4 linked regions of the Drosophila melanogaster genome follow. The protein of the gene in region 1 purifies or fractionates together with the protein of each later gene. This does not show direct contact. Each region holds a gene or a part of one and is shown in the gene's direction. Other genes may lie near its edges.

The links.
Region 2: the proteins of gammaTub37C (region 1) and Grip128 purify together in Drosophila melanogaster (affinity purification with western blotting; 4 studies listed by BioGRID, with this or other methods). This does not show direct contact.
Region 3: the proteins of gammaTub37C (region 1) and Grip163 purify together in Drosophila melanogaster (affinity purification with western blotting; 4 studies listed by BioGRID, with this or other methods). This does not show direct contact.
Region 4: the proteins of gammaTub37C (region 1) and Grip84 purify together in Drosophila melanogaster (affinity purification with western blotting; 4 studies listed by BioGRID, with this or other methods). This does not show direct contact.

Annotation. Positions count from the first base shown.
Region 1 is NT_033779.5:19,183,342-19,187,622, reverse strand, and holds gammaTub37C (gamma-Tubulin at 37C), read left to right. Parts: upstream 1-1,896; 5' UTR 1,897-1,970; coding exon 1,971-2,019; intron 2,020-2,088; coding exon 2,089-2,291; intron 2,292-2,399; coding exon 2,400-2,990; intron 2,991-3,049; coding exon 3,050-3,580; 3' UTR 3,581-3,760; downstream 3,761-4,281. Other genes in the region: pigeon, read right to left, coding at 1-544, 603-904, 968-1,372, 1,431-1,494. UniProt on the Drosophila melanogaster protein: Tubulin is the major constituent of microtubules. The gamma chain is found at microtubule organizing centers (MTOC) such as the spindle poles or the centrosome, suggesting that it is involved in the minus-end nucleation of microtubule assembly.
Region 2 is NC_004354.4:15,467,770-15,473,716, reverse strand, and holds Grip128 (Grip128), read left to right. Parts: upstream 1-1,597; 5' UTR 1,598-1,677; coding exon 1,678-1,797; intron 1,798-1,852; coding exon 1,853-2,341; intron 2,342-2,450; coding exon 2,451-3,068; intron 3,069-3,128; coding exon 3,129-3,628; intron 3,629-3,695; coding exon 3,696-5,203; intron 5,204-5,267; coding exon 5,268-5,311; 3' UTR 5,312-5,436; downstream 5,437-5,947. Other genes in the region: mh (maternal haploid), read left to right, coding at 1-823; Alg14 (ALG14, UDP-N-acetylglucosaminyltransferase subunit), read right to left, coding at 899-1,474; CG15641 (uncharacterized protein), read right to left, coding at 5,443-5,811.
Region 3 is NT_037436.4:11,992,764-11,999,973, reverse strand, and holds Grip163 (Grip163), read left to right. Parts: upstream 1-1,835; 5' UTR 1,836-1,923; coding exon 1,924-2,949; intron 2,950-3,010; coding exon 3,011-3,164; intron 3,165-3,225; coding exon 3,226-3,590; intron 3,591-3,648; coding exon 3,649-5,909; intron 5,910-5,971; coding exon 5,972-6,221; 3' UTR 6,222-6,700; downstream 6,701-7,210. Other genes in the region: Pop2, read left to right, coding at 1-19; viaf (viral IAP-associated factor), read left to right, coding at 6,930-6,935, 7,105-7,210.
Region 4 is NC_004354.4:19,560,802-19,567,759, reverse strand, and holds Grip84 (Gamma-tubulin ring protein 84), read left to right. Parts: upstream 1-1,995; 5' UTR 1,996-2,290; coding exon 2,291-2,346; exon of another isoform or gene 2,347-2,452; coding exon 2,453-2,987; intron 2,988-3,067; coding exon 3,068-3,574; intron 3,575-3,641; coding exon 3,642-4,684; intron 4,685-4,746; coding exon 4,747-5,068; coding exon of another isoform or gene 5,069-5,107; exon of another isoform or gene 5,108-5,250; coding exon 5,251-5,349; exon of another isoform or gene 5,350-5,964; coding exon 5,965-6,183; 3' UTR 6,184-6,420; downstream 6,421-6,958. Other genes in the region: car (carnation), read right to left, coding at 1-1,418.

The DNA of each region.
Region 1 (4,281 bases):
GCGAACTGTCATTGCGGAAAGCCTCTATCAAATGGGATTTGGGCACGGACAACGAGACCAGATCCAAGGTGGCCGCATCATAAGCCAGAGCTCCCCACTTTCGCAAAGGCACCAGCTGTGTGATATCGGGACTTCGATTGTGGGCTGCACACACGATATGGCAGTTCGGTTCGTGCTGCAGTCCCACGTCCAAGAGGTGGACAAAAAAGGCGGACGACACCAGCAAGTGATGCTGGCCGTGTAGCGCAAATGTTGGCCTCAGCAGACGGGCCTTTTGCCACGGCACACCGGGCATGACGCAGTGCACCACATAGCCGTGGTGAAGCAAAGTCACCGAGTAGGCAAAGTGCACATCCCTTTGCTCCGACTGCATCGGCTGGTACAGGTAGTAGTGACAGACGAAAAACATGCCCGAGGTGTCCGCCAGTATGATGAGATTTAGCGAACTATCGTGCACGCGCAAGGGAACCGCATCGTCATCGTAGCTTGGCGATTCCTCTTTGGAGCCATTGGGCAGCTTTGGCAAATTGAGGGGTATATTAAGCTGCAATAGAAAGATGTAACTACACCTATACGTAATACTTTAATCTTTAAGTACCTACCACTGTTTCCGTTGGCTGTTTTTCGTTAAACTGAAAGGCGGAGAGCGTGGGGCTTAAAGTAGGAGTTGTCTGCTCGCCAGCCTCCTCCCTCTCGTCCAGCAGACTGAGGCTCTTGGCCTTCGGCTTCAAGTGAATGTAATAAAGAGCCTGGCACTCGGGATCCCACTGGGCCCAGCTAAAGTTCCTGGCCAGCGTTTCGTAGGTCAGTATGCTGGTGTCTAGCCTCCAGGCGCTGCCCTCGCCTCCGCCAGTCGAGCATGTGGTGGAGCTCTGCTTGACCACGCAGCTGTACTGCTTGATGGCTAGAAAAAACAGGTACGAGCATGGGAGTTAGAGGTGGATAATGACATATACATGACACCTACATTCCTCGTGGGTGAGCACCAGTAGCTTGTCCTGCCAGCAGGTGCGCGTGGCACTCTCGACGCGCCACAGGAACTGCGTCATCATCTGGCGGTTGGAGGGCTCCGAGTTGAGGGGCGTGGCCGTGCCACCTTCGGAGCTCCTTACCTCCACGACAAAGGCCTGATAGAGCTTGCCCTCAGTTTTCTCCACGAAGGACAGCAATGTGACACTGCTGTTAATCGTTGCCTGGACGATCTCACGGCAATTGTCGAGGGTCCAAAGGAGTCGCAGCTGCTTCTTGGTGGCGTGAAAGTGGCCAATGCACGTCTCCTTGCGCTGATCCTCGTCCGCGTACTCGAATATCCAGGACGTGAGCAGAGATCCATCCTGTTCCTGGCCCAAAATGCGCCACTCGTTTGCCTTCTCTGCGATTTTTACGGACATCCATGAGGCTCGGAGTAAATTGGCGAAATACGAACTCACCTTTATAGCCCTGGCTGGCCAGGAGACCGCAGAAGTTGGCTGCCAAGTTCTCCTGCCGCAGCATTTTTATTTTTTATTCAATATTTGTACATAAACATTTGCAACGAATTTTTTCAATCAGCCTGCCAGTGTGCACGTTGCGCGCTTCTCAGAAAATAACGACTCCCGAGAACCGTTACTCGCAGCCACAGGGTGTGCTGTACAATTGAAAAAGCTAGTCCTTTAAATTTAAAAAAATAACAGTTAATGTTTTATGTAAATGAAAACATAAAAAATATATAACTATGGCTAATTTATTTGAACCTAAATATTTAAAAAAAAAATGGATCAAATCTTAATTCTAAGTATTTTCTATAAGTCCAATAACATTAAATAAATCATAAAGATTAGTAAAGAAAAATAGGTAATAACTTACTGTTGTATTGTACTTCTTGTATATCGATATTAATGACTTCCACTTCCATCTCCAGTTGGCCTTCGATGCACAGTTATTATTTACTGAGAAAGAAGCGAAATTAACTAAACTGCAATTCGAGCAAAATGCCCAGCGAGATTATAACCCTTCAATTGGGCCAATGTGGCAATCAAAGTAAGTTCTTCACGTCGAAATCGAAGTTAAGAGAAGCTCCGGCTTGATCGAGATCACTCCATTCCGCAGTTGGTTTCGAGTTCTGGAAGAGATTGTGCCTGGAGCACGGCATCTCCCCGGATGGCGTCCTGGAAGACTTCGCCACCGATGGACAGGATCGCAAGGATGTGTTCTTTTACCAGGCGGACGACAACCATTACATACCGCGGGCCGTTCTCATAGACTTAGAGCCCAGAGTCATTAACAACATCATGACCTCTCCGTACTCCAAGGTCAGTGCGGAAACTGGTCTTATTGGATCGGATTCTGATCTAATCTACTTTATTTTATGTATTTCATTTAAAAAACTATGTAGATGGATATGTGTTTCCCCTTTGCAGTTGTACAACCAGGAGAATGTGTTCCTCTCCAAGCACGGCGGTGGAGCAGGAAACAACTGGGCGTCCGGCTTTAGCCAGGGTGAGAAGGTGCAGGAGGAGGTGTTCGACATTCTGGACCGCGAGGCCGATGGCAGCGATTCGCTGGAGGGATTCGTGCTCTGCCACTCGATAGCCGGCGGAACTGGGTCCGGAATGGGCTCATATGTCCTGGAACGGCTGTCCGAACGCTTTCCCAAGAAGCTCATACAGACGTACAGCGTTTTTCCCAATCAGGACGAGATCAGCGACGTGGTTGTGCAGCCATATAACTCGATCCTTACCCTGAAGCGTTTGACCAAGTGCGCGGACAGTGTGGTGGTGCTGGATAATACCGCACTGAACCGCATCGCCACCGAAAGATTGCACATCCAAACGCCCACTTTTACGCAGATCAACAATCTGGTGTCCACCATCATGAGTCTGAGCACCACCACCCTGCGATATCCCTCGTACATGAACAACAACCTCATCGGTCTGACCGCCTCGCTCATTCCCACGCCCCAGCTGCACTTCCTGATGACGGGATATACTCCGCTAATGTCCGACTGCGAGGTATGATGATATGACATATGTAAATGGGAATGCAAATAAAAAGAGGCAACCACTTTCAGACCAAGACAAGCGTTCGAAAGACCACCGTTTTGGATGTAATGCGTCGCCTTCTGCAGCCGAAGAACATGATGGTTTCCGCGCTGACGGACAAGCAGAGCCGCCAGTGCTTCGTCTCCATACTGAACATCATCCAGGGCGAGGTGGATCCATCCCAGGTGCACAAGTCGCTGCAGCGCATCCGCGAGCGAAAGCTGGCCAACTTCATACCATGGGGTCCGGCCAGCATCCAAGTGGCTCTGCCGCGCAGCTCGCCCTATGTGCAGTCGGCCCACAAGGTATCCGGATTGATGATGGCCAATCACACGGGTATCAGTTCGCTCTTCAAGAGGGCCTTGGCCCAGTACGATAAGCTGAGGAAGCGCAACGCCTTCCTCGACAACTTTCGCCGCGAATCCATGTTCCAGGACGACCTGACCGAACTGGACATCGCACGGGACACGGTTGACTGCTTGGTGCAGGAATATGAGGCAGCCACCCAGATCGATTATCCCCAGTGGAGTCCTGCTGTCGAAGCTTCGAAAGCCGGTTAATCGATAATTATTTATAATTCAACCGTCAATACTTTTTATTTTTTTTATCAACAATAATATATGTATTTAAAATACTTTATAATCAATTTAGGAATTATAAAAGTTTCCAGGAATGATTCAACTTACATAAATCAAGCAAAAATAACTCTGAACGAGGTAGGAAGTAGTAACGATCACACCTCAACACACAAAAGTTCTGATATCAACTTTTGTGTGAAAAAAAGGGTTTTTTATTCAACTAAGGATATACAATAACTAAAATTTACTTATTCGTTAGTTAGTTTAAAGTTGGTCAACACAATCACTAATTCCACATCCACATGTATCTTGATATGTGTACATTTTTATAGTCATATTGGCTTTGATTTTTCATGTCACTTCACATTTCCCCGTAACAGACTGAGCGAAATGAATTTTCCATTCGTATTCCAAAATTCGATGTGTTAACACCTTTGAAAATAGTTTGTGTCTTACGTTTTCCGGTACCTATTTTGTTGTTTCTAAGATCCTATTTCTGTAAATAGGCCAAATGTAAGTGTTTAGTTCACATTGCATAGAGAACAATCTAATTTGGTTTAAAGTCCACTTAGCTGCCCTTTTAGAAGGAAATTAGGATACCCTGAACGCTTTTCCCCAAGACAAAATAAAATCGTAAGTGAAAACAATTTATATGATTAATTCTTAGCTTTCCTTTCACTTGG
Region 2 (5,947 bases), on another chromosome or scaffold:
CGAGATAATCAACTGGGAGTCCTACGATGATGACGTAATGGTCAGGGATGTTCATACGCCCATCGTCAACTTGGTCGAAAGCTCTAGTGATGAAGAGGAGATGAAGATGCCAGCTGGCAGAAAAACCATGACCAGTCAGGAGCGCACGCAGATCATCAAGCGCCAGGTAATGGAGGATGAGTTGACCTTGTGTGAGGACGATATCCTCTTAATTGATGATGAATACGACGATGAGGTGGCCGCAAATGAATCTTTAACAGCCGCCACGGAGCTAGCTGACCAATCCATTATAGATGATATTTTTGGAGAGGACACCCTGCTGAAGGAGTTCCAGCGTGAGAACGACGTGCAGCCCAGTTGCTCAAGCTACGCCAAAAGAATTGAGAACGACATCGTATCTTGTCCCATTTGCTTTGAGAAAATGAGGCGCACTGAGTTGTCCAATCACTTCGATGGCTGCGCCATTATGGTGCGCTTGGAACCGCCATCGTTTAAGCCTAAAAACCGCCGAACAACTGCTTCCTTAACCTCAAAGGACTCGTCGGGAGCTTCCACATCACGCCGCGCTAAATCGAAAGCAAAGTCATCAAAAGGAATTCTTCGCAGCTCCGGTTACACAGAAGGGGAGATCGACAAGCTCAACCTGAGCTCCTCTACCGACTCGTCTACTCTGCCGTCTAGCGAGGACGAACTTACTCCGCGTCAGCGCCGCCAGCGCAACCTCTTCAAAGAGACCGTAGGCTGCCCCAGATGTGGCCTGGAGATCATGCCTCTACACCTGAAGGTCCATGGATCCGTCTGCGCTGGTCGCAAGAAGCGCTAGGACAAAAAACATCTCATACAAAACATAATTCGTTAAATAGAAACTAATGTTAACTTTAATGTTATTAAAAACATGTTACAGGATTCGCCCAAAATATCGCACATTCTTTTTATCCAAATAGCGCGTGGCCAACGCCGGCCAGTGGACCACAAAGAGGTCCGCCAGCGGAAGGAGCAGGCGTCCGCTCAGCGACAGCGTCTCCACGCGGCAGAAGCTCTCCACGAACACTATTCTGGAGTGCGAGGGCAGGCGTCCGAGGAGGCGCCACAGATAGGCGGCATAGCAGAAGGGCACACAGGTGCCGGGTCCATTGCAGAGGATCAGTTGGGGGCGATCACGCCAGACCAGATAGCAGCTCCAGAGAAGCGCCCACAGGCTGGTGAAGATGCTGCTTAGCCAGGATTGGCCCACGTCGCGGCTGCGCGGCACCTTCACGAATTCCGCCCTCTGGGCAGCCTGCGGCAGGACCTGCCTGAACTGGCGCTCGGAGGTAGAGTCACTGTTGGCCAGGATCAGTCTAATTGGCTGGTACTTCTCCGTCTGTTCGATGTCTGTCTGTTGCAGCAGCGCCTGGGTCAGCCGGCACATCTCCGCCGTGTGGCCGCCAGAGCCCAGTATTACGTAGGTGGGGTGAGGCGAGCTGGTCGTCATATTGCCCTTCGAAAACTCAATTTAAATGACAACATTTACAATTGTTTACGTTTCAAGTCGATTGTCGATCATCCACGAACAGCTGTTTCCATTGCTATCGATAACTGAACCGATAATTATGCCGGTGTACCATTTACGTTGTTGTCATTGCTGAGGGCGCCATTTATAGAATTTATTGGATCTCAATCAGAAAGCGGAGCGAAATGGCTCCTCCCGCCCAGAAGGGTAACCTACGGAAGCGCTCCGGCAAGACCTCGACGGCAGTCAACTCCGCCATAAACGAGAACGTGCGAAAACTGGTCAGGAGCCTGTCGGAACCGGGGGTATGTTTTAAAACAGATGTTATCCCTATTCCAATTTAACCAACTTAAAACGCAGACGAGCCAGAAAAAGTTGCGCCAGATGGAGGATACGGCATTGAAGATAATCGCCAACCAACGCAGGACATGGGCTCCTACAACGACGGACATGGAGGTGAAACGCAACCTGGACGATCTGGCAGAGCGTTTTCGGGCGGAGGGCATGGCGTCTTTTGGTGAGAGCATCAAGGACTTGGCCATCAGGTATTTGGCTATGGACGAAAATCAACAGCAATTCAATCCTAACCCCGGATGGCAAATGCTCGAATTGCTGTTTCGCATAGCCGATAGGCCGGTGCAAAAGATCCGGCTGAACCGCGAGTTCATGGAACAGCGCCGTCTGTCCATAATTAATAGCATGGAGGAAGCCGAGCGACAGGCACAGATAGAGGAACAGGCGAAACTGGAGGCAGCCAAGAATACCTCCGAAACGGAGGTGGACTGGGCAGCGCTGCTGTCCGAGGATTTTCTGGATCCGCCAGAGGATGACAGCTCGGACAGCTTAAGTGTGAGCATCTAGAGAACCCCAAACATATGTCATCTGCTACACATATGTAGCCTGTTCTTTCCATAAAATCATTTGCAGCATACTAATACCTTTACCTTCTTTCCAAAAGGACTGGTCGGAGGAGTCGGACTGCGACTCGACAACTACTCTGAAGCCCGATGAAAATATTGGCGTCTCGCGAAGCCTCTTGGAAATGGCCAGGGTGTACGAGCAGGCCATGATGGCAGTCGTTCCGACTGGAAGTGTTAACAAAACGTATATGCCGCCCGAGCAGAGCGTGATCCGGAGTTACGACTTTCGGATAATGAAACCAACTGTTCTAAGCCTCAACAACTTAAAGGGCAGCCATCTGAGACGAAGCAAGCTGCTCCAGTTGCCGCCACCCCAACCGCCCCGACCATTCACCCAATATTGGCAAAGTGGCAACACAGATACGCTCTTCCGTAAAATCCATTCCCACTGGTGGTGCCAAGATGTCCATTTAAACGCCCTGCCCTCCAGTGCTAAGCCACTGGACAACTTTGCCGTCAGCTACGTGCAGTTTCTGAATCACAATGCCCGAGGCTTGTTGGCCCTGCCAGTGCCGAAAACCATCACGGAGCCCTGTCTGCTAAGGGAGATCCTCTTCATGTTTGTGCGTCCAGCGAGCTGTTGTTTCTTTGAATTCGACAAGGCCACGCGACGCATTACTGTGCGTGACAATGTCAGTATTTGTACGGTGACTGCGGTAAGAAAGTCGAATCGTTAATGTGTAACTCTATCTTTAGTCCGGCTTTTTTTTTTGTAGAGCACAATGCAAAATTTTCTGTTATTTGATGTGGTGCCTGCGCTGGAGGACATGATGGAACTGCGTCACATCATCGATACTCATACGTTGCATTTTCATGGCGTAAAGACAACATACACCGTGGAGTTCTTTGCATACGGCCTGAGAGATCTTGTCCAGCCCATTTGCCAGCTCCTCATCGCTTACGAGGATCGTGTCAATAAGGATCCAGCGAAAAATACACTGATCCGTTTTACGATTGAGTTCAGGGAACATTTTAGCCAGCTGCGCTTACTGCGAGAGCTGGCCGAAGATGTCATCCTGGATAAGGGACCTGCGCACATACGCAGTGCCTACTTGCTATCCAGACTGTATAAGCACACCTTGCTGCAGGTGCCGCACCAGAAGCTGGCCACTGCCCTGCTGTTTATATCTCTCAAGCGATATTGTATCATCATCGACGGCTGGTGGCGCAGGGCCGCGCTGGAAGATCACCTTCGCGAGTTCATCGTGGAGTTTTGGTAAGCCAAAATGGTGCTCACACATCACTCTGGCCAGCTGAAGTCATAACTACATTGTTTTTAATAGTTACGAGGAAGATGCGAACACACGTAGCCACGTGCGCAAACGAAATATGGGAATGGAGGATGATTTGCTACTCGTGGAGATCTTCAACAAGCTGCAATCCTGCCCACTCTACCAGCTACTGCTGGAGCATGCCTTGGAGTCTGGCGAAACGCAAGATTTGCTATGTAGTGTAAATACGCTGAGCGAAATGCTGACCAGCAACAATGAAATCCAACTGCCGTCGCTGCACGATGAGCTGTTCACGCAGTTCTTTGCGCAGCTAAAGGTTTACTGTGGTGCGGACAACACGGATTACGAGGATGAGCCGGAGCCGGACAAAGACTACGAAGATCTGACTGTGTGCAATAGGCAGGGCATTAGGAACCATGAACTTTTCGCCATATTTACCCAGCCGTTGGTGGAACAACGTTTGGAGCGACAACGTGAGCGGCTTAAAAGCAACCCCGTTCTAATGGCCAACATTTTGAAGCGCTTGGAGCGCTCCACATGTCTGCAGCTGAAGTCTGAGTTGCCGGAGGCACTGCGCGAAATACTGCGAAGGAGACAGTGGCTGGCGAACGAGTACGCGATTCGAGCGTACTGCAAGGAAACGCAGGTGGCCGAGAAGATGCGATTCCTGCGGCATACGATGCTGCTGGAGAAATACTACCTATTTGTGCCATACTACAACGCACTCTTCGTGCGCATGGAGAAAAACAATAGCTGGGCACTGGGTTCGGTGCTCACTTCTAAGCTATGCGCTGTGCTCCTTCCGCATTATCCGCAATTGGCTCATTATCTTCATGTCAAGTTAATATCCCAGATAAACTCGAATTCAATCAAGGTCTATGAGGCCCTGGAGGCTATTGAACTGGACTTCGAGCGGCCAATGGCCATGCACCAGTGGTACATTCTCACACCCGCGCACATGCAAGACTACAATTCGGTGTGGCGTCTGATGCTGAAGGTGAAGTGGGCCGTCTGGAAGCTGGAGAATATGCAGTTTTTGCGTCGCGCTAGGTTCAATCCCTGCGCACCACTGGATTTGATCGGTCTGACCATTCGTCGCCTGGAGATTGTGCGCTTCTGGTTAATTTTCCTCATCAACAACCTGCACGCGCACATTATGGAGGCCGTGAGCCGGCAGTTCGAGCTCAGGATTGGCGAGTGCAAGAATGTCCGCGAGTTGCGTATCATGCACGACGAGCACCTGGCGTGGCTGAAGACACACTGTATGCTGACCGACGAATTTAAGGCATTCCGCGTCGCCCTCGACCAGATCTTTCATCTGGTCTACGTGCTGGACATGGAGTGGACCACCTGCGCCAGCTGCATGCACGACCACGATGCCCTATGCTTGGACGTCACCATTTCGGATGACGGCATTGATGACAGCGAAACGCAACGTCGTAGCTTGGAGTACCTGGCGCTCAACCAGGTGGCGGAGATCGAGTTAACGTACATACGTTGCCACCAGATGCTGGCCGACATCCTTAACACGCTGGTGCACCAGAACGATCACGGATTCCGTAAGTGATTGTTGGTCCCGAAATTTGGACATTTGAACTTACTCTTTTTCACTTCGTCTTGCAGTGTCTGCCTTGGAGGAGACCATCAACTCCAGTGTGCCCCATTAGAATCGAATCTCCTCCACAAAGGATCTTGTTAAACATTACGCATTACCATCACCTGCACCACTACCTATAATCCCGACCAAACATTCCCATACCAACTGAATTAAAAGCAGCTTATCTTTGTTGACAAAACCTCACTCGAACTCCTCATCGCTGTCGCCGAAGGGCTCGACGATCGGTGGTGGCGGCGGCAGGGTGGTCACCTCGTGCAGCGTGGGTCGCCGGATGTACGGCTGGCAGGTGAGCTCGCACATGCGGGCGCTGGCGAAGACCGTGCGATGTGGGTAGCAATTACCGTTGACGTGCTCGCAGCGCCGGTAGGCGGATTGGCGATTGAAGACGTACAGATCGGCGCATGGCGAGCAGTTGGCCTGGCCTATCAGTCGCGTCTGCAGGCACTGGAAGCGGCGATCGCTGGCGCTGATGCCCATGGACACCTGGCGTATGGCCATGGCCAGGGCGATGGCCACCAGACAGCAGCAATGCACTCCTTGCCGTCGCATAGTCCGTTGATCTCTGCCGCCTCGCCGCTCTATTCGTTTCGCTTCGCCCGTTTAGCTGGTTTCTCATGGTTGGCGTGGCGCTAATGTGTTCCGCCTTCCTTCAATCTTCAATCTGCAGCACCTCAATGTTAGGCTA
Region 3 (7,210 bases), on another chromosome or scaffold:
TTCGAATAGCTTCGGATGATTAGACAGCTCGCTCGCTGGTGTTGCCGTGCACTTGCCACTGCTAACGTAACGTGCCTCCGCCCATCATAATCATTATTCCTTAGGTTTAAGGTTTTTCATGGTTGTCATAACGCATTTTCATACATAACTCATCTATGTACTTAGTTTTTTGTGACCTGCACAATTTACAGAGCCAGTGACCCAGAATTTATGAATGAAATCCATAATTTGAAGTGTTCTTAGTAGTTAGTTTGGAGCTGTTAAACCCATGTGAAACATGTTTATTTAGCTGTAATGCCCGCGATACGAATTGAAATGAGAAACGCGCTGGATTCGAATGGAAAATTAAATGAATTGGAATTAATTTTCTTTAAATGTTTATTTGCATTCTTTGGTGTTTGGGCATGGCATATGCATATCATAGCTTGCTTGATTTCATATGACATCTTTTTAATTGTATTGATGTTCATTTTAATTTATGTTAAGTTCACGCTCTTCATTTATATCGAATTAACAAATTATTCTTTTGTAATTTTAAGCGCTTTGCTGACATATGTTTCCACACGGTTTACTGTGTGTATCAGCGTACCAAGACCTTTATCTTCTAGAGAACTGCCGAATAGTTTTGAAATAACAAGAACATTGCAGAATAAATCCCATCCCATACTAACATTCATTAAATATGAAATTTACTAATATTGAAACCTCGTCCAATCACATCGGTTCTGCGGTATGTAACAAATCCTATCTACAAGTAGGACCCACCCATCTACTTGGGATTACTTTCTAAGACTTTGCTGCCGTAGAAATATGTGTGCTTTATACGCTTTGTAGCTCCCAACTAAAGTTGCTCGCATTGATACATCCCATAATTACCATACTTACCCAGAAACTGCTTTCTAACCCATTTGTGCTGTCCCATTCGAAAAACGATCCAATGTTCTGTACCTGCCTAATGAAACTTACAATCTTTGCAGATGTTCTTCGAGGACAACATCGACCATGCGAAGTACTCCGGACACCTGTACGGCCTGGGTACCTCCTTCATCGTCAATGGCACCAACTTCCACGACAGCAACGGTGAGACGAACAGCGCTTCATGATTCGTACTGATGGGGAACGTGGTCGTGCACGACAGGAAGTTCGAGCAGGAGGAATCACCGGGTCCGTCGGCATCTGTGCAGGCCACACCACCTGGCCAACTGATCCTAGCCGTAACAACACCATTGCAGTAATCTGTGGACAGTCGACACAGATCGTTCCCATTTGTGAACAATTATACCCCGTTGGCCATAAAGCTAACTTCTTGATGTTTCCCACGCAAGTTCAGATGAATAGGCAACCGTTCAATACGAAAACATGGCATAAACTAATTGTAAATCGCATAGAAATGAAAAACCGGCAAAACTAAAATAGATTCAATTTCAAGTTCTGCATGTCTTAAATGTGTTACGAATACAAAACTAAGGTATGTAAAATTAAGCTAAAACTGTAAGCCAATGAGCGAAACAGAGAATATTGTGTATTTGTAAAAAGAGCAAAAAAACAATATATTTAAAACTTTTTAATTTAGTGTACATTTCGAAAACGTGTTTTTATTTGAAGTATGAATACGAATCGAGATGTTTGGTTTAGTAGAAAAAAGATGGCGAAAACCTGTAGAAAAAAATATCAAATATCAAATATCAAATCAAGAGAAACCAAGAATCCCAATATCTACAGATGAAAACAAAATTTTCAAGGGTTAAAAATCAATAGTGGGTTAATGAACATATAAAAGGTATTTTTAAAATATAACGGAAATACGCCGAAGTAGCAATAGTCGGATTTTTGTGAAACTGTGGTGCGGTCACACCGAGCCTAGTCCTTATGTTTTGTTTATGGAAAATATCTTTTAGTTTTTGAGTATTAAAAGCCAAATCGATGGCAACTGTGGCTGAATGCAATCACAGCGTCCTCGACCTGGTAACCAAAATGGCCACAATGCTGGTGGCCGATGAGATGAAGCCAAAAAAACAAACAGCTGTGCTGGTGGCCAAAAAGCGCTCCAAAATCTATGAATCGCTGCTTCACAGTGAAACGATGTCGTCCCAGGACAAGCTGGAGATGCTCCACCAGGTGACCAGCGAGGTGGCAAAGAACCCAGACCGGATGGACATGCTGCTCAGGTTCCAAAATCTGCTAGAAGGACAGGATAAGGAAGAATCGGAGATTACACAGGACCAGGATGAGGAAAACCAGTCCGAAGTGGTGATCAAACGTATCAAGGCAGGTCCACTGCAGCTGATTGAAACCATAGAGATTGTGGAGGAGGCACTTCATCCAAAGGCCTTTCCCGACATCAATCAAATGAATCGCGCCCTGAAACCCCTGCAACTACAGCCATACTCCGATATTCTTACAACGAGTAACCTGAATATAAATTTTCCGCCAGAAAAGCTAATTCCGAAGATCATACCATCTACTGTAATTCGCATGGGATTATCAGAGTCCATTACACGCATGAGGAACGAAATGGAAAAACCAATGCATCCACCACCCCGATTGCCAGTGCTCGCGAAAAAAGTCGTAGCTCCATTAGAGGATGAACGACCTTTTGTGGCCCAGCCTGGACCGGAGAAGCACTTCGTTTCGGATAAATTGTTGACCAACGAACTTAAGATCCTCCGGAACAAGAACCTGGTTCTCAACTACCTAGATGAAGCAACCCTAATCGATCACCTAAAGAAAGCAGCGTGTGGTATTGAATCTTTAACGTTTCCCATCTCGTCGGCAGATAAGTTGGAGTTGCGAGTGAGGCCCAACACAACTTTGCCAACTATGCTGCCGGAGGTGCTGGCGGATTTTGCAAATCACTTCATTCGTGCCGGCTGCGCCTTCCTGCGTTTGAGTTCCCGCACCAAATGGAACAATATCGCCGAAATGCGGCTGGAAAGGCCTCTAAATCGAGTGAGATTGAATACCTTATTTCCAGTAGTGATATATTCAACAATCCCATGCTTTCTTATAGGCCATGCGAGAGACGATTATGGACTATCTAAGCACCACTCGGCAGTTTTTGCTCTCTTTGCAAGCCGATAGCCTTTTCCAGCTGCTAAACAACACCTCCACAGCGATTCAGTTACTCTGCCAACTAGATAGGATGTTCGAAAATGAACCAAGATGTAAGAATGCCGCGACGCGAAATTATTTCAGAATTAATCTCTTTTATATACATTAATGCAGTAAACCTGAACACTGGGATAACTGGCTCCTTCCTGTTGAGCTCCATCTGGCTGGCCATCGACACCTGCGGAAACAAAGACTTCCTGCACCTGCTCATCTATTTCTTGCGCTGCATATCCCGTAATTATTTTATTCAGCTACAGAGATGGATCTACCATGGTGAACTAGACGAGTCGGTCAACGAGATTTTCATCAGCCGCTGTCTGAACACTTCACCGTCTTTTACAAACCAGTGCAGCAAAGAGTTCTTTGACAAAAGCTATCAAGTGGACAACGAGGCGATTCCTGAATTTTTAGTCGGTTGCGAAGAGGAAATTCTTCAATGTGGCAAATACAACCTGGTGCTAAGGGCATATAACGCTCAGGTATGCAGAAGATTATTCAAAACTAGAATCCATATATAATGATTTATTCTTTTTTTAGCACCCCGTTTTTGACGTGCAGTACCCGGATATTGTGGTTTGCCTAACGGAGCAACAACTCAAAAATATGCGCCGCAACCTGGCCGATAAGTATGCCATCATCTATAAACGTTTCGGATGGTGCAGCATGCAAAGCATTTTCGAGGACCGCATGGCGACAAAGCGTGTATTTGCCAATCTAATGGTGAAGCGAACGCAGGCCCATCTGGACGCGTGGGCGCAGAAGCAGCGTGAACTCCAAATAAAAGCGAATGCCCAGAAAAAACTCCAGAACGATCAGTTAAACGCAGAGCAGGAACGTATCCAGCAAAATCACTTAGAGAAGCGGCGTCAGGACATTGTTAATGAACTTGCATTTCAGCGGGAATGCGAACGGATGGAGGATAAGCTCCTGGAGCGGGAAAAGCAAGAGCTGCAAAAGAAAGTGGTGCAGCTAGCAGCTGTCCTGTCGTCCAGTCCTGACCGAAGCACAGTCAGCGATCTCAGTTTTGCATCCTGCATTGAGGAACCAGATTGTCTAGCAGAATCATCTTCTGATAAAGATGATGCAAATACAGAAAATTCAGAGGATGAGGCAACAAAACAGTTGGATAAGACTTTAAATGTTCCATTGGAACAGCCCGAAGCTGAATATCAAGCGGATGTAGATGTGGACCAACCACGTGGCAAAGAGTGTTCACTTCCCAATGTGTTTCAGTATCAACGGAGTCACTCGGACGTGATAAATTCTAACGAGCATCCAACAACCCAAGCAGAGTTCAATCGAAACCGCCAGCATGGTCTCTCCTCCGACCAGTTTCAACAGTGTCATGCCACGGTACATCTACAAGAGTCCGACTTACTTAAAACCGCTGCCAGCACGAGTTCAGGATTGCACGCAGAAATTCCTCAAGATATTAATGCTAATCTCAATTGCCCGGACACGAAAGAGCTGACCGAACTACAGCGAAACCGCAAGCGCAACGAGCATCATGACGGCTTCTTCAGTTTTAACTCTACCGAAGATGAGCACACCCATCGATTGCGTTCCCTATTGAACTCAAATACTGAACGTGGCAGAAATCGACTTCGGGTTATGGAGACCGAGTTCGGTCTAGGTTATAAGAACACGGATATAGAAACAAAGGCCACGCCCTGTTTGCCTCTCGAAATCGACAAGCTTCACGTCGAAATTCCCCTGGCGGTGCTAACTCCAATGTCCACCACTTCCGATGTGGATTTCGGTGATCCGTCGCCACGGGAACTACCAGAAATAGCTGACACTGCTAATAATAACAATGTTAGTGGGAGCATTGAAAGTTTGTCTCCGGAGTTGCCAAAGCCCGTTCTTGCAATTGCTAAACCAACTAGCTTATTGCCGAAACTGGATTTTGGAATGAAAGATGAAAGGGAGACGGAACAGGACAGAGATAAAGTTAGCACTTTGCCCGAGGCTTGCAATCCGTTTATGGCCCGCCGCTGCCTGCAGCTCTCCGTAATGGCGCCCCTTAACGCATACTACGGACTGCTCCGAAATGAAGTGCTGAGAATATTCCAGGAGCAGCGTATCTACGAGCATTTCCGCAAGCTCAGAAACTACTTTTTCCTGGTGGACGGTCAATTTGGAGCTACACTCACGAACGAAATTCTAGGAAGAATAAGGGCGGGCGTTGGGCCACGAAGTCTCAGCCAGAAGGGCATCCTTGACACCATTTTAACCAATGCGCTGGCGGCTTGTTCGGCGGATGAAACGACGGTATCGGAGAACCTTACCCTCAATTGTACCACCATCCCGGATACGCTCAACTTCCTGTCCGTGGAAGCCACTTCTATGCTAAAGCTGAACTGCAAGATTGATTGGCCTTTAAACATGGTGATCAGCTCGGAGACGATTTCAAAATATGGCCAGATCTTCGGGTATCTGCTGAAGCTTCGTCACGTTAGTTTCGTGCTGGATGGAACCTACGAGTATCTGCAGCAAATGGGCAAGCTTCTGGGACCGGAACTTCGGACATGTACTCATTTCCGACACATGCAGATGATGCGCCACAAGATGTCGCACTTCATGACCTCGTTTCAAACGCATCTGGTGGCCAAGGCCCTGTTGTCCACCTGGAAGAGCTTCAAGGAGGAGTTGTGCACAGCCGATTCCATTGAGGCGTTGTACAAGCAGCATGTTGCCTACTTAAAGCGGGTAGCCTTCCTAGCACTGCTAAATCGACGCAGTGCGAAAGTAAAGGAAACCATTGATAATATCCTAGTGATTATACTACGCTTTTGCAAGTGAGTTTACGTCTTAAATAGTCTGCTGATTCATTTTATTCTTTAATTTAAATGTTTTTCAGAGTCATTCAGTCGCAGTCCTTTATTGTGGATCAAGATAATTACTTTGTGCACCCCCGCTTCAAACGTCTGCAGCAGGAAGAGGCTGAGTTCGAGAAATTCTTGCAGTATCTCATCTATTTGGGCAACAAGGCGGCCGCTTCTGGTTACCAGGAGGAAATCGGTGACCTGATTTGTATTATTAACTTTAACCACTATTACAAGGTATCTGGGAACCATACTGGTTCCTCAATGGAGGACAAAAAGTGCTAGCCAATAATTGTTAGATAGGGAATTTATCTTGCCATTAAGCTGAGCTTAGAACATTTTAAAAAATATTTATGCATGCATGGCGTCTCCTAAATGTAAAGCTTCGGTGAAGAAAATCAGCTTTAAAGGCATTTATTTCTTAGTACTATTTCTTTAGTTTCGGTTAACAGTTTTGTTGTGTTGTAAGTTAATATTAATTTTCAAATAACCGGCTCAAATTAAAAGAAAATAATTTAATTAGTAACATCTAATAGTGTTTTAATTGAACTCGTATTAAATGCCGAAAAAACTGTTTTGAATATTTATCCATATCATTAATAGATTTCTGTTTAATATTTAAGAAAAACTTTTAAAAGAGACAATTGTCTCTAAAGTAGAATGTACGTATTAAATATTGTAATGAAACCAATGTCGACATGATTTCTTGAAACTGTTGATTCGAATTTATAAATAAATGTGCTTATTTATGTATGTCTTACCATATTTAATATTTAATATTTAATATTTAATTCAAACGTATGTAAGGTATCGCTTCCCTATCATCTCTAAGTGACTGTGCGCGTACGATGTATCGGTATTCGCTCCATCCCTGGTCATGAGTCACTTCGTGTAGAATAATTCAGTTTTATTTTTAGTTTATAAAAGCGCTGCACGCGATCAAGAATTTTATATTTTTAAGTAATTTATTTCATCGAACTATAATCAAAAAACATGCAGGTAAGATGGACTGTTATAAGCAAATTATATTTATTATCCGAACAATAAGGTTTTTCCATTTCGATAAATGGTAATGGTGGGTGTGTTTTGGTGCATCCAAAAATAAACCCCATATTTGGTATTGAAAATCATGAATGAAATGAAACTCACGTGGCCTTGTTGTCCATAGGACCCAAACGAAGATACCGAGTGGAATGATGTGCTCCGAGCCAAGGGAATAATTGGGCCCAAGGCGAAGGAGGCGGAGATCACAGAGGATCAGATCCAGAAGCTGA
Region 4 (6,958 bases), on another chromosome or scaffold:
GACTCTGTTTGCAGATGGAGCAGGCCCGATTTCTCCAGGTTGCTGATGGTGAGCAGCACTTCCAGACCGTACACATGGACCAGTTCGCGCTTGTAGTGGTTAAGCAGCTTCTCCTTGAATCCGGAGGCGGCGTGGCACTGCATGCAGATGAGCCGCAGGACGCGATTCAACTCCACCCTGCAGGCAATCAGGTCCTCGATGTAGGCGCTTGGCTTGTCGATATCTGCGCAGACCATGAACTCCTGCTCGGCAGCCAGGTCGTCAGCGAAGCGCACCGCGTTCACCTGTTCGTGCAGGAGGCCAGCGATGGCCGTATGCTCAGAGGTGGCCTTCTTCTGGGCCATTAGCTGCGGCAGGAGGTTCTCGACGAAGCTCTTGATCTCCTGCACGCTCTTGTCCTGGGAGGTGGCGTGCATCTGGACGTGAATTTCCCGTGCCTTGCGAGCGAGCAGCTTGGTGACCTCGTTGAAGTGCTTGTTCCGCAGCTCCGCGTACAACTGCTCGCCGGAGTGCAGTAGGATGGTCTTTTTCTCGGTGTCACCCAGCAGCGACTGCGATTCCTCGACTCGTGGGCCACTGCCTCCGCCTCCGGGAAGGGCTCCGTCAGAGGGAAAGTTCTCGGCGGGCAGCGTCAGTTTGTTCTGCCGGATGCCGTAGAACTCATCGATAAGCCCCTCGTAGGTGAGTTGTGTGGCCAGCGGGCTGAGCAGATCGATGCTTCTGTCCAGAAGGATCAACTGATCGACGACACCCTTGTCGCCGTTGTACAGAGTCCGCTCATCCCGGCCCAGCTGCTTGGCGTGCTCCCATACCCTGTGCGCAAACTCTCCTTTTCCGTAGATCTTCGGAATGCGACCGTATAGACGCTGCAGCTGCACTAGGCCCACTGCCGCCTGATACAGCGAGCTAGTGTCACCGTCCACACTCACATCGCGGAAGGCATTGGGCATCTCCATCGATACCAGGTCGACATCCAGCGGCAGATAGTTCCAGGCCAGTTCCTCGATGTTTCCGAAGCTGCCCAACACGCCGCTGACCTCCAGTTGGCTGACGCACAGACATGACCGCCTCGGGGCGAACAGGATGTGGTACTGCCGTCCAGCGGCCGCTCTTCCGCCTGCCTTCACGTGGGCGGCCAGCTGCTCCATCAGCGCCACGCGTGGGCGCATCACGTACACCACATTGGCCACCTCGCGCGGCAAATGAAGCTCCGGCTTGAGGGCCAGCAGACGGATGCCTCGATCAGCGAATAACTTTGGCCGGGTAACCAAGTCCAGCGGTCCGATCATGGTCTCGTCCAGCACAATAACCTTGGAACCCTCAATGCGGTCCAGCTGCTGCAGCAGCTCGCGGCAGGCGGCCTCCTGCAGCAACTGCAGGTTGACCCGCTGACCATGGCCCTTCAAGTGGGGGAACATGCTCCTTTCCTCTTGCCAGAAGTGTTGATTCGTATGCTCTGCGGCTTCCGGTCGGTCGCTACCGTGTCCTTGGTGGGCGGTTTGTGCAGTGCGTTGGTGGTGTTGGTGCAACGCCCACGGATTTCGGCTGCAGAAGATCAGGGACGCGACTGTAATCGCTGCAAAGCAGCTGATTTGGACTGCGCCTGCGCTCAGCAGTGCGGTCTTACACTTACCCTTATGGCACGGTCACACTGTCCGCTGCTCTATGGGCCATTCACACTATCACTTGCCTGCAATTTAAAATCAAAACAGTTGCCAGATATAAATTTTGTTGATTAAACAAGAATATAAAGTTAAGATAGAATAAAATAATAGAGGAGTAGTTTCAATTATTTAATCTGTGGGTAGAAAGTATTTCTTATTTATTTTTTATGTACAGCTTTTTTCATTTAACAAAATTTGTATTTTTTCAATGCTTTGCACGCTTTAACGCAAATAAGTTACAGTAGTGGCCAGTCCAGTGTAAACTATGCTAAACGCACCCCTCTTTTTCGCCAGCAACCAGTGTCACCACATCCTCACAATTAAATACCAACAAATGCCAATTTGCATCAAGTTGCTTGTGCTGCTCATTTCAGTTTAAATTGATTCCGAAATTGCTGCAAGCGCGTAAAATAAAATGAGCATCTGCGATTTTAAAACGGCTAAGGATTGAAAAAAAAACTAGAACATTACAAGGACAGATGACAACCCTGTCGCTGCAGTCGGCACTCAAGCAACCCGGAAAAGAACAACAAAATATTGAGAAGAGCGGCGCACTCAAAAAGAGCTCAATTGCCGGTTATAACTGTAAATTGAGAAGCGCGGAACTATAAATTGCCATCTCCGTGATGAGTAAACCCCATGCGCTGCGCGGTGTGCTCGCCAATTTGATCAGCGAGTCGCAGTAAGTGGATTGAGTGCACAGGTGGCCAGTCGATCTAGCCGTTGCTCCTGCACCGCCTCTTTCCCGCCATTGGCACCATAGTTTACTGTCATTTTTTATCCCACAGATCGCCCCTAACTCCGGAGAGCATCATTCGGGAGTTTCGGGCCACTAGTGATCGGCGGCTGCCAGCCTGCGATCTGATCAAAGTCCTGGTGTCCATCAGCGAGAAGCGTCCCAACTTCGCAGAGGTGACCAAGGAGATCTCGCACATTCTGCAGAATAAGGATCCCATGTACGCACTGCTGGTGTTCGTCGAGCGATACAGCGAATGCAAACCAGTCTCCGAGAGCAGCAGTTCCACTAGCCTTTCAGCGATGGGCTTGCCGCACGGAAACAAGACTTCGGATGTTAATTCCGCAGCCGGTTCAGTCCCCACCACATTGGCAATCGCAAGCACCTCGACAATCTTAACCACATCGCAAAACGTATCTGGTTCCACCAGGCTTAGCTTGACCCAGTCCCAGGACTTTCCCACCTCGACGCCGGTGAATTGCAAAAAGGCCACTGAATCCGACACTACACCCGTAGTCTTTGTCAGGCGCGGCCCAATGGACCGTAACCGTGGAGCGGGCAAGGATGAGCGCAACGACTTAAGTGTGGTGAGTGCAGACTAAGTATGGTGTGCTGTTCGCTGCCAATTACTTGGCCCCTTCAAATAATCAATGATCAACCCACACAGATCAAGGAACGTGTGCTTAATGCCGTTTCCGATCAATCCTTGAGCGGCTACCGCTCGGTGACCAACAAAACGGGCAACAGCCCAAAGTCAATGCCGAATGACCTGGTGACGCTAACTGATGTGCCCGATGAGTACCGCACCCATTTACTGTGGGAATACTACAAGGTGGACGGGGACAAGGTGCCGAGGGCAGAGATCGCGGCAATGCCGCTTCTCAGCCAGGAGAGTATGCTGCTCGACGAGCTGCTGCACTGCCTCACGGGCATAAGAGAAAGCCTCCTGGTGCCTCAGAAGCCAATTATTTCTGCCGTTGGCCTGGCCAAATACGACACGGACTTTGACATACACACGCACCTCGATCGCTCGCTGACACACCAGGTGCGGGAAATCTTGCCATTGGCCTCCTACTTCATGGGCGTGCAGAAGATAATCGCGGCTACCGACGGCCTGGGTCAGGTGATGAACTCATTGAATGAGGCACTGCAGGAACTTACACACGACTTCTATGTAAGGATGTGCAATCGTGTCGTGGCAAAATTTTTCCCTAACTAATCTTTTTTTCCACCGAGCCTAGCTGATAATCGTACAAGCCGAACAGGAGCTGCGCCACAATAGATTAACATTGCAGAAACTACTGTACTACCTGCAGCCGACGATGTGGGTGATGCATGAGGTCTGGTCCTCGTTGGTGATCATTCAGCTAAGCGATTCACGGGATGCCGAAGTGTTGACGTATTTACACGAGCGGATCAAGCGGCTGGAAGGCAACAAAGATGCACAACAGCTGATTATCGGACTGGTGCGCAAGGCGGCCAAGCCGTACATGCGAATGCTGCAGATGTGGATCCAGAAGGGCGTGATCGTGGACCGCCACCGGGAATTTCTCGTAGTGGACAACGAAGTGATCCATCGCGACGAGCTGCCCGAGCACTATTCCGACGATTATTGGGAGAGACGGTATACCTTGCGCGACGAACAAATACCATCGTTTCTGGCAAAGTATTCGGATAAGATCCTGCGCACCGGCAAGTATCTCAATGTGATCAGACAGTGTGGCAAGCGCGTAATGCCCACGCAAGAGATGAACCTAGAGTTCGACCCGACCAGCGAGCGGCACGTGTCCGTCATCAACGACGCTTACTACTTTGCCGCCCGCATGCTGCTGGATGTGCTGCTAACGGAGAACGACCTGATGGGTCACCTACAGTCGGTGAAGCGTTACTTGCTGCTCAACCAAGGCGACTTCACCATGCAGTTCATGGACGCCTGCGAGGACGAGCTGACGAAGAACGTGGACCACGTGTTGCCCATGACGCTAGAGAACCTGCTGGGACTAACGCTTCGCATTTCCTCGGCGCGTAATGATCCCTACAAAGACGATCTGCACTGCGAGCTGCTGCCCTACGACCTGGTCACGCAAATGTCCAAGATCATGAAGAAGGAGGAGAACTGGCAGGCACAGCCTCGCCTCGATCTTAGCGGCCTCGAGTGCTTCGCTTTCACCTACGAGGTGAAGTGGCCCTGCTCTTTGGTGCTGAATCACATTTCCATCTCCAAGTACCAAATGCTCTTTCGACAGCTCTTCTACTGCAAGCACGTGGAGCGCCAACTGTGCAAGTGGGTTCCCGATCCTTAACCTTTTATGCCCACGATCATTTAAGTTCTTCTCTCGCAAACAGGATTTGGAAGGAAAACTCGATTGCCAGGCAGTTCGAGCCGCAGGCGGCTAGTCTCTATCGAGCGGCGTTCACTCTGCGCCAGCGTATGATGAATGCCATCCAGAACCTGGAGTACTACATGATGATCGAGATCATCGAGCCCAACTGGCACATTTTCATTGAAAAGATGAAGACGGTGGAGAACGTGGATAACGTTCTGCGTCTCCACCAGGACTTCCTCGACTCGTGCCTTAAGAACTGCATGCTGACCGAGTCGTCGCATCTGAATCGTTCGATCTTCAAGCTCTGCAAGATCTGCCTGAAGTACTGCGAGTTCATCCAGGTGAGTTCCAGTTACAGTGCGAGGGTACCGGGTGGCTAAATTGCTAAATTTTTGCGTACAACCCTTCTTCCTTTGCTCTGTGCTTCGTGCTCCGTGCTCCGTGCTCTTAATGCTCTATGTCTATCCCGCTTGCCAACGCTTCCAACTCTATGTGGAATCCTTGCTAATCCCCACCTTCGCAGATCACGCAGCGTTACTTTCAGGACGCTGAGCTCAGGTCGATGGTACGTGATAGCGCGGACAGCTCCGAATCCGAACAGGAGAGCCTGCACTGCCCACAGGTATTGCGTAGGCTTGTGCTCAACCACGTTGTTCCTTGCGGTTCCTGTGTTCTCGCTCCCACTTTCGTTATCGGTGGACCCATTTCCGTTTTGTGTCCAGCTGGATTGCATAATGGCGTGGCCCCGATTTTGATAGCATTGTTTCTTTTATTTCGAATTTGGATTGCATGCTTTAAGTTATTTTTGATTGGCTTGCCTATGCATTAGGCCATTTGCTTTCTTTTGTTTTTAAAACCTTAAATGCATCTTCTGGTATCATTAAATTACTAATGCAGAAATAATCTACAATAAGTAGATTATTATTAAGTTTTCCCTGATTATTATTCCTTCTTAATGAATCTACTTACAAAACGTAGTATTGTTTGGAAAAAATGTTTTGAAATTCAGTTAAAACAATTTGTGTAAGACCAACTTAAGCGGTTAATCTATATATTTTATATACTTATTTTTATATTTTATATACTTATACTTTTGTGTATACGGATGCCACAAAATTAGCCTGAGTTCGGGAAGAATTTGTATATACATAAGAATTCCCCCCAAATTCAGTGTATTTGTGACATCCTCACATGTATGTTCCAGTGATTAACTTGTGATTTCTTTGTCCCCTGCTAGATTGAGACCCCGTTGGATCCGACAGATACGTTTTCGGAGCGGGTTAGGCGCTTTGATCTGGAATTTACCCAACTGCTGATATCGTTCCTCAAGCAGATCAACAGCATGGCGAAGAAGAACACCGCCGATTGCTTCATGAATCTGGTGCACCGCATCAACTTCAATGCCTTCTACACCGATCAAATGGACAAGATGTGTGTAGAGGATGCCATTGGCTAAGCCAGCACGTCTAGAGGAAAGGATGTGGATGTGGATGTGGATGTGGACGTGGAAACGGAAACGGAAAAGACAAGAACAAAGTATTAGATAAATGAATTTCATAATCACAAGCGCACATTTACCATCATTCCCCACGCATGTCTTCTCATTTGCCATCCAACAAAGCGCACCAATTGTTACCCGTTTAGTTATACAAATTCGAATATGTATGAACCAATAAACCAATTAAAATGTCCTTCGCTGCTGCCGTTTGCGTTCACACAACTGCAATTTACGGCACTGGACACGATTTTCGATTGCAACGTAAGCCAGTGGCGTAGATTGCAGATTGTGCCGCCAACCAAGATATTGTACTTCGTCGTCAACCAGGTCATCCGCGATAAGCTTGGCCACTCTGTTTAGAAATGCACAAATATCCTAGGTAGCTCTCACCACTGGTTTATACATCGAATCAGAATGATAGCTGAGATCTTGGTTTCCAGGATGTTCATCATCGTTTGCTCCTGCTACGGGGTTTGCGGTTTTCCCCCATCCTGAAGCCTTTCATATACGAAGCTTATGTCGTTGGTATTTGGCCAGTTCTTAATTTAAGCTAGCCACTTGGATTTTTGGAGTGGAAGCAAATGCAAGCAAGAAACCATCCAGAATTTTAACCAAATTTGATGTTAGTAAACTCGTGATGGGCATCAATGTGGTAGCTACGCTGTAAAGTAGGCAACAAATATATTGTTCCCTGCGAAGAGAGCATTATTTTACTAAAGATCAGTATGAGAAC